Caenorhabditis elegans: one gene and its partner. The protein of the gene in region 1 purifies or fractionates together with the protein of each later gene. This does not show direct contact. Each region holds a gene or a part of one and is shown on either strand. Other genes may lie near its edges.

The links.
Region 2: the proteins of cpna-3 (region 1) and C04C11.1 fractionate together in Caenorhabditis elegans (co-fractionation; one large-scale study listed by BioGRID). This does not show direct contact.

Annotation. Positions count from the first base shown.
Region 1 is NC_003282.8:9,094,742-9,100,041, forward strand, and holds cpna-3 (VWFA domain-containing protein), read left to right. Parts: upstream 1-2,100; 5' UTR 2,101-2,164; coding exon 2,165-2,226; intron 2,227-2,292; coding exon 2,293-2,478; intron 2,479-2,565; coding exon 2,566-3,052; intron 3,053-3,099; coding exon 3,100-3,203; intron 3,204-3,422; coding exon 3,423-3,669; intron 3,670-3,715; coding exon 3,716-3,843; intron 3,844-3,888; coding exon 3,889-4,051; intron 4,052-4,101; coding exon 4,102-4,179; intron 4,180-4,225; coding exon 4,226-4,333; 3' UTR 4,334-4,625; downstream 4,626-5,300. Other genes in the region: icln-1 (Methylosome subunit pICln), read right to left, coding at 1-71, 146-294, 337-438, 498-557, 602-744, 789-904; znf-706 (Small EDRK-rich factor-like N-terminal domain-containing protein), read right to left, coding at 1,164-1,206, 1,255-1,331, 1,387-1,488; gldi-10 (AMP-activated protein kinase glycogen-binding domain-containing protein), read left to right, coding at 4,630-4,636, 4,689-4,800, 5,177-5,266.
Region 2 is NC_003284.9:14,019,025-14,023,201, reverse strand, and holds C04C11.1 (SCP domain-containing protein), read right to left. Parts: upstream 2,613-4,177; 5' UTR 2,604-2,612; coding exon 2,478-2,603; intron 2,417-2,477; exon of another isoform or gene 2,396-2,416; coding exon 2,185-2,395; intron 1,841-2,184; coding exon 1,723-1,840; intron 1,675-1,722; coding exon 1,438-1,674; intron 1,161-1,437; exon of another isoform or gene 1,074-1,160; coding exon 878-1,073; 3' UTR 808-877; downstream 1-807.

The DNA of each region.
Region 1 (5,300 bases):
TGTTGATCGCCTCTTCCGAAAATTCTCTGCATATTGGCAAGACCTTCCTCACTCATTTGCATATGATCAATCTGGAAAATGTAATAATTGGAAAATTCACTATCAATCTCAAGCGCTTGGGGGAGCGCTCAAGTAAATATCTTACATTATCAGCTGTGAACCACTGTCCAGATTGTCCTTGTCCGTCGTCACCCATCTCTTCTTCCATTTCCTCTTCTTCGTCGTCATACATAGGATCGTCTTCTTCTGGATTTTCCTCTTGTCCAACAGCGATTTGATGGTAAATTTGGCTTACTGAAAACGAAAAATAGTTTATTTGTTTTATTTATCACTCACATGAATCCTTGTCATCTGGAACAAAACGGATTTCAAGTGCTGGTTCTTCCTCATCATCATCACTTTCTTCGTCTTCGAGCTCTGCAGCAGCAAGTTCCAAGCCTGCAAAGAATCTTAATTTTAGCAAGGATCCGGTTGAAAAAGAAGGCGAAGACGTGTACCTCTCTGCTCGTCATCTTCCTGTATTGTCCTCAGAACAGGCGCACGTCTCCGTCTTCGTACTAAAAATTAGAGGTAAAATCTGAAAATTGCCGATAATGCATACCTGACTTCCGCTGATCAACCATGACAAATATGTGTTCTGATGGGAAAACGGAGACGTCAGTGGATATGGCATGAAGAACAATTGCTGGATAGGCAACCGAAAATCCTTTTGTTCCAGCGGCCGAGCTGATCCAGATAACTGCACTGAAATTAAACATTATTTCTTCACTGTTACTAGAAAACCGTACCTATCGGTAATGTAAAGGGTTCCGTTTCCAAGTGAGTCAATCTTGAAGAAAGCCTGTACATTGGTTGTGGCAAGCTTGATTCCTTCAGTTGGCTGGCTGACTTCAGTGAGAATCATGTTTGCTTCTAAAACTTTGTTTGAGTGATAAATATTAAGCAGCGTAAATTGAGATAGATAAATTAAGATTGAAACTTTGCAAGACAATAAGAAAGTTGGTAAAGTAAACATAATTCGATAAATTTCATTAACTGCAGCCATTCAAAATTTAGAAAAATGATTATGATCGAAAATGGTGCGGTACAGAAAATAAAGTGTTTTTGGGACTGAAAGAGGTGACATGGAGTGCATTTTCGAAGAATTCAATATTACTGGGTGCTCAAGCTTCAACGAGTTCTGCTGGAAGTGGGCTCTTTGGGTGCCTGCAACAATTTGTTTTTTTAATTTCACGAACATTTTAATTCGCTTACTTGTTCTCGAAGTGTTGCTTGTAAGTTTTTGGATCTGGCATCATGGCAAGACAGACGGTACATTTGTGATTGAGTGCCTGAAAATCGTTTTAAATGAATTTGCAGAAAACACTCCGATTGAAATGAAATCACCTTGGCAGCTGCAGCTTTCTGGTCGATTCCGGCTTTTCTTGCGGCATCAGCCTTCTTTTGATTCTTCTGTTGCGATTGGATCTTTTGTTGACCACGAGCCATTACTAAAAATATGAAATTTTAATCGTCATTGAAAGGAAAAGGCAGAAAATAGGCAAAAATGGGAAAGAAGTGCATAAAATTCGAAAGAGAAGTGCTCACGAGAGTCCGCAAACACGGTGACGAGGAAGTGCACACAATTTTGCCTCGAATTTCAAGAAATAGCAAAGGATGAGAAAATTGAACTGGTTTTAGGAAACGGCATCAGTGTTTGCTGAGAAGACACTCAAGAAAGTTCTATATTTTGAAATATCTCACCACTTTATTGATTTTCTTTTTGGAAGCGTATTTTTATTCACAAAAAATTATAAAAAATTATGAAATACGCTTTAAAAATCATTAGAAAAAATAATACAACTTTTTAAAATCAAAAAGAATTAAAAATGGCTCAAGGAACACGCGTCTAGCAGGAGTGGTCTTGCCACGAAATACAGTTTGTAGTTGCAAAGAACTTTATTCAAAAAAACACTCCTGTGTCTCACAGCGACTTTCGAAATATACTGTGTTTCCGTGTACTCCTCGTAGACAATTTCTCAAATTTTCAGTTGTTTTTCCTAATGGCGCATATTTAGATTTTATATCATATAAAAATAATAAATTTTGTCTTTTTGACAGGCGAAATTCATGAGTCATCGATCGGACGACATATAAAAGTGTAAAAACGACCTCAAGTGTGTGCATGCTGCTCGTTTCTCCCGACAAAATGGCGGCATACGGAATCGAGATAACTTTCGCTATTCGGTGAGCATTTTAACGATTTTGAGTATATTCATTATTTAAACATTATTAAAATTACTAATTTTTAAGAAATGCTCGGTTCTATCCATCAGCCGATGGCGTTAGCCTCAAAATATTCAGTTTGGACAAGGACATGGAAGTTGTTGAAAAAGTTGCTGAAACCGAAGCGATTTATGGACAAAGTGACGCATTTTTCACAGAAAAGTTAAATCTAAACTACAGGATTGAAAAAATGCAAAGATATCGAGTTACCATGTATGTTTTACTTCCGAAAATCAATCGGAAGCTGAAAAATAATAGCAATAAAATTAATAATTTTTTCTTTAAAAACTCATATTTCAGAAATGTACTAAACTCCTCCACAAAGACAATTATGGGATCAATGGGTACTGCCGATTTCGATATTTCTATGATGTTCGCATGTGGAGGACGTCTCATTCTCCTTATCGCTTCACCACTTGCGCCATGTTCTCTGGAAATTGTTGGAAAAGTTCCAGATTATTATTCCCAGTTTCTCCGCATTAGGTTTTCTGGAAATTATTTGCACAGTCCTTCGGATGTTATTCCACTTCAACTGTATTACATTCTCTCAATTCCCACTGAAGAACGGACAATTATGTTGTACAAATCGGAAATGTTGAGAGAAACAAAATATCCAGAATGGGCGGCATTTAGTATTCCTCTGTTTCTGCTTAATTATTTTAATGAATCATCGATTCAACTTCATGTATATAATTACACACCAAATCATGATGATCAACTCGTTGGACACTGTACAACTACTCTCACACAACTACAACAAGGTGTTGGGCATTTTAATTCTTACATGGTATGATTTTTTGTTTAAAATATATTTATTAATTAACAGTTTTTCAGCTGATGGAGCCTAATGGGAAACGAATTCATGAAAAGACTTGCATCGAATTGAAAGAATTGAGCTTGGAAAATGGTCCGACATTTTTTCAAATGATGGAAAATAAGTAAGAAAAACTGGTTTTGGAATGGAACACTTTCCGGTTCATAACAATAGTTTTCATGCTTAAATTTACAATTACACTTTGAAAATTTACACTTTGCTTTATATTCAATTTTATATTTATAAAATTGACATACTTAAGCTGAACAAATAAAATGTACAAAAAACCAATTAATGTATTTTCAAACTTTTTTTTTCGTTGTAATAAGTATTTAATTTTCAGTGTGAAGATTCAATTAACGTCTGCCATCGATTTGACTGCATCAAATGGAAATCCTGTAAACCAATCTTCTCTTCATTACATCCATCCTCATCAACCATCTCCATATCTCGAAGCACTTCTTCAAACAGTTCCCCCACTTCTTGCTTATCTTCCAAATCCTCAGAATCCTCATATTGGAGCTCTTGGGTTCGGTGCAAAAGTTCAAGTTCCTGGAGGTGCTCTTCAGTTATCACACTGTTTTTGTTTAGTAAGTATTTGTTGAAGCAATAATCCATATATTAAATGTTTTACAGAATGGAACTCCAACTGATCCACGTGTAGAAGGTTTGGGAGGACTGCTAAGTGCTTATAGAACTGCAGTTATGGGTCTTCAACCATTTGCACCAACAGATTTTTCAGAAGTTATTTATTTTATGTCAAAGTAAGTTATGCGAGATTTCAGTTGATATGTAAAATTTGTATTCAGATTCGCAAAAGCTGAATCTCGTCGTCATGTTGGTCTCTACTTCGTTCTAATCATCTATTCAGATGGTGGCCCTGCCAATGCACTTAACATGAAAAGATCAATTGATGCAATAGTTGATGCATCGCCTCATCCAATGAGTATTATCGGAGTTGGAATGGGACAGGTTAGATACTTTTTTTTAATCTGGGAAACATCCTAACAACTAATTTTTAGGATCGAGATCACAGTCCGATGCGAAATCTTGAGAAACTGACATTGAAACATTCCGACGGACGGCTTCTCGTGCGACAGGTAACTCTCTTTTTCAAACTGACCGATCAAAAATCAATATTTTCAGAACTATAGCTACGTAGATCCGTCGGACCTAGAATCTAGTGATGTGTTAGCAATGATCCCGATTCAAATGGCTCAGTGGAAACGGATGTTCCATTTTGATCCGAAATAAAACAAATGTATCCGAAATTTTCTTGCACTTCTCCTATTTGTATTTTTGTTTTCTTGCAATTTTCATCATTTTTCATGTATTTTGTGCCAAAATTCGTAACGCTCAAATTATATATATAGATGTACGTAACCCAGTAACCTATAATTCCCCCTATTCAATCACGGGTTTTAATCATGTTTGCTTTTTTCATAGATTGTTCAATTTTTCATAGAATTCATTTATTTCTCACATTTTATCCGCTGGTTTGTTGTACTCATTTTCCTCATCATTTCCAATAAAAAGAAACGGTCGATATCATGTTTGGTGAGCATTTCAGAAAGCTGCCAGTTTGATTTAATCATTTGTAAATGTTCAGGTAATGAAAAGAGCGAAGAATCCGGAAGTTCTGGGTTTGGTTTAGCTGAAGTTAAAAAGGTTTTCCAGTGGATTCTCGGATGCACTTATGCGAAGAAAACATTCAAAACTAGGTCAGTTTTCGTGATCTGCGATTAAAATATTACCTAGATGCCAAATTTTGCAAATATCATTCCACAAAAACGGTACTCGGTCTCGACACGACCACATTTATGTTTGAGGCAAAATAATGTGCACCTTTAAAGATTACTGTAATTTCCGATCTTCGTTGCTGCGTCTTTTATTAATTTTTCATATGCAATTAGACGAATAATTACAGTACTCTTATCTTTAAAGGCACACTCCTCTTGAACTTACTGTTGTTAGCAAAATTTTGTCGCGTCGAGACCGGCTACCGTACTTTTGTGGAAAATCCGAAAATTTCTGTAATATCTCTGTATTATTTTGAATTGCTTTTTGAGAACTGATCCGTATTTTGAATCTTTACAGAATTTCTGAAATGTTTCATTTTGCTGATGCTCCGCACATTGTCGTGTATGAGCGAAGTGAGGAGCGACCATGGTATTCGATGGTTGGAATGTGAGTTATTACATGATCAATCAATTATCCATTC
Region 2 (4,177 bases), on another chromosome or scaffold:
GGAAACATTGATTCGACGCGCTCCGAAGGATCCTCGAGGACAATTTATTTTTTTTTCCAAAAAATGTGTTTTTTAAATTATTTTTTTTTTAAATGAACAATTTTAATGTTAAATTTATTTCTTGGCGTAAATAAGAGTCTCAATGAGACTTTCAGAAGAAAATTGATAAATATTATTAATGATATAATAATAATCTTGTTGATCCGTTCTATCTCCAGACGATTTTCCTCGTCTCCAGTCGATTTTGCGCTGAAAATGGGATATTTAATGGAATTGTTTTTGTTTTTATTAATAAATAGGAATAAATTTACGAAAATCACAAAATTTTCAATAAAAAACACCAAAAAAATGAGAAAAAATGAGAAAAATCGACGAAAATCGGTATAAAATCAAATAAAAATAGAATGAAAATATTCAGCTCGTAAACCCACACGTGCGGCACGGTTTCGTGGGCGGGGCGTCTCTGGCGGGAAAATTTTGCGTTTGAAAACTCACATATAGGCATCCAATGGATTTTCGGATTTTAAAAATTAATATAAAATCAGGGAAATTTTTTAAAATTTTTTCACATCGATATTCGGTATCAGGGGCAAAATTAGAGTCAGAAACATATATTTCCCCACAAACTCTACTCCCCCTTTAAAGTCACAACACAATTATTGCAGAATTGAACAAGAAAACACATTCGAGAATGTCATCGGAAATAACTCCAGAAAGAAGATTAGCAGACGATTAGTTGGGGGTGTTAGATGATGTTTTTTTGTGTGTTGCCTCAAGTTAATCTACTTTTAGATGATGTATTTCGATATTTGTGAAAACAATTTAATTAAAGCGGTTCATAATTGTTCAATTGTAATAAGAAAAAACCATCAATAAATCACTCATAAACAGCAACCACGATAAATTGGCGATGTTGTTCACTAAAAGCACTGGCCACGCCAACCCACGAAAGTGATTGAACGTCGAGATAGTTCCAGGTACCATATTCTTCCGCTTCATCCCACCATATGTCGGCAATTGACTCGGTTACACGAGACCCCATCCAGATGTTCATACATCGGTTGCGGTCACTTCTGCAAGCTTGAAAGTTTTTTCCATGGTCTTGCACATACAGTGTGTAATCAAAAGTTAACTTTCATCAGAATTGTGTTCAGTTTCAGCTTAAAATTTCAGTTTTTATTGATTTATAAATATTTTTAAATTCAGAATGAAGGTTTAATGGATTTCTCTTGTCTTGTGTTTTTAAAAATTATTTTTATTTTTAAATTGCGAAATAAGAGTAGTATTGTTGTCTTATACATACATACAATATACGCTATTCAAAAATTCTCCACAGAATTTGAAGTAATGTTTCAGTTGCAAATTCATACCATTTTCATGGTCATATTTCAAATTTTGACACTCATATTCCAACCATTATAAAAACGTTTGCATTACCGAAATTCCCCTCTGATCGCCAACATCCGAGCCCACTGGGCAGCAATATCAGCTAACCGGACCGATGGTTCCAATGGAGGGCAAGCAATTGTACTTCTGATTCTGTTCATTCTATCAATAAGACAGTCTAGTGGCTCTCTCCATTCCACTCGCTGAGAGCTGGGAGGAAGAGTTCCAGCAGGATATGGTGCAGCAGGAACTTGATGATGGTGCTGATGAGAATCTTTTTTAGCGGTTCTGAAATTATAACGATTAATTTGAAAAATGAGTTAATAGTTAACCGACTTTAAAATTGATGTTTTCCGTACATAAGAGTCAGTCGTTTTCCATTCTGGGTTCAAAGTTGAATCATCACTTCTGCTATATTCTCGAATGATTTGCGTTGGCGCAACACGATCTATTCCTGTAAATTGAAATTTTTTTGGTAAGTCTCTGAAATGGGGTTTCCCTTCTGTTTAGCAGGTTAGCCTTGGGAAATTATGATAATGTTGTTTTCAAAATCTATATACAAAACTCGTGCACATTTTGGGTCTATACATTAACAACACACAGAAGCATTACTCCTTTTTTAACATTTTGAAATTTATGCTTTTTGTCACTAATGCAATGTTTTCTGTTTGATAACTGTAAATGTAAAATTACAAATCTCATATAAAATACCAATATTGTATTGTATTAAACCTTTGTTAAGCGTTCAGACTGATGGGCAAATTGCTATCGAAAATGTTATCAACTATTTGCACTAACTTTTAACTGGATATTCTCTTTCCACAGGTTCTCTAGCTCTCGGAATCCTGTAATTGACTTCCTGCCTTTTTGGTTCATGAAGCACATCGCGATAGGTGTGAACAGTGTCATAATCCGCCTCGCGGAGCGTATTTCTATTATTCGAGTAGTATCGGTTGCCATCAAATGGAAGTGTCGATTGTTGTGGATTATCATCAAAGTGCGTCGTTTTCTGTGTATAATAACTAGTCATCATCAGCGGGTTTTTCTACTTTCATCTTCCCCCCCCCCCCATTTTTTCATCAGTCACTCACCACATCCGTCACAGATAGTAATTGTCCGCCCGTTGAGAATCTCTCCATTCGTTTTCGAGTAATTGTATGCCTTTGTTCTTCTCGGTTCGGAACCAGCATGGGAGGGAGAAATGCATCCAGGTTCATATTGTTACTATAAAAACATATGAGGGACACATTTTTTTATGGAGAGAAATATATAAAGTAAGTTGTTGAGAGAGTAAATGTGTGATTTTCTTGCAGACAAGATTACAAATAGATAAAAGAGCAAAGGAGCTCCTGACATGTTTGAATCAATTAAAAAAGCTTATATAATCAAAACTTTGAATTTTTATCAAGTTCAATTGAAAAAAGAGCTCATTAATAATAGCAAACGTCTCAGTTGAAAAGCAGTGTTATTCAAAGAAATTAGACTTAACAGGGGAGGGGCTAGTACGGTATTTTTACCGTTTTACTAGGATTTTACTGTTGAAACACTCGGAATTCTGACGTAGAACAAAAATTTAGCACTGTTCGAGTATAGAACTAGACTAATTTTAATCATTTCTCAGATAAATGGTCCCTACAACACTATTAAAATTATTTTTAAATAACATTATTATTTAAAAACGTACTAAGAATAATAAATCACAAGAAAAACACCAAAAAAGTTGAAGGAATTCCAAATATTTCCCATTTCAAAATTGTGCAAAGAAATGGAAAAAAAAGAAGAAAGTGAGAAAGTGATGGCACGACTGTTCAAACATAAAGCATCATTTCATTTTTGACGTTGACGCCTTCTTTTTATTCAATTCAAATTCCATCTGGAAATTTTATGAATGTGTCATCGTTACAATCATCGCCATGTTTACCATGTAAATATGCAGTTCAGTAAGAGAAGATGTGCATATATTAAGAAAAAGTGTTGAAAATTTGGAGAAAAAATGCAGTAATCCAAATTTTGGGTATTTCAAAGGGTCCTAGGTAATTTTGGAAAGCAACTCATTATCTCAATTTTGGATATTTATTTTGAAAATCAGTTCAAATTTCATTTGGCACAATTCACGATTAGAAGGGTAGTAGCATCATTGAATTCTTTTGTTGAATAAAATTATACAAAGTTCTGAATAATTTTACTCTCTTGAATCACAATGCTCTCTGAAAACAAGTTCATTAGCGCCGGCACTGAACTAAGTTCCAATCTTACTTGATCTGACAATGCATCGGTTAATACTTTTTATAATTCATCTTATTTGTCTCGAAGTTTTTGTTAATGTATTGAATCACATGAAACATGTACAATTAAATGATATAACTCTTTTGATACTGACAACATTTTTTTCCTGGTTATACGAATGTTTATTTTTGCAATTTCAGCACCATAAGATTCCATAATAAAGCTAATTCATTCATGCGACATTCTTCAAGTTTACACGATTTTCGGTTTAAATATTCATTATTCGTTAATTATTGGTAATCACGGTCATAAAGCGAGATAATACAAAAAATATCATAGATATTGAATCACGGTGGTAAAGAGACACAGACTGGAAAATATCAAATACAGATTATCAGGGAAAAAATATCATCGACAGTGGGAAGAAGTAGTTGTTGTAGTAGTAAAACAGATGAGTTAATCACATTGAATCGCATCGGGGACGAGGAATAGCTATGCGAGAGTATCACAGTCGTGGGCATCCTGAAGAAGTCGGGACTGTGAATGTGTCGCCAAAGCTGCACGT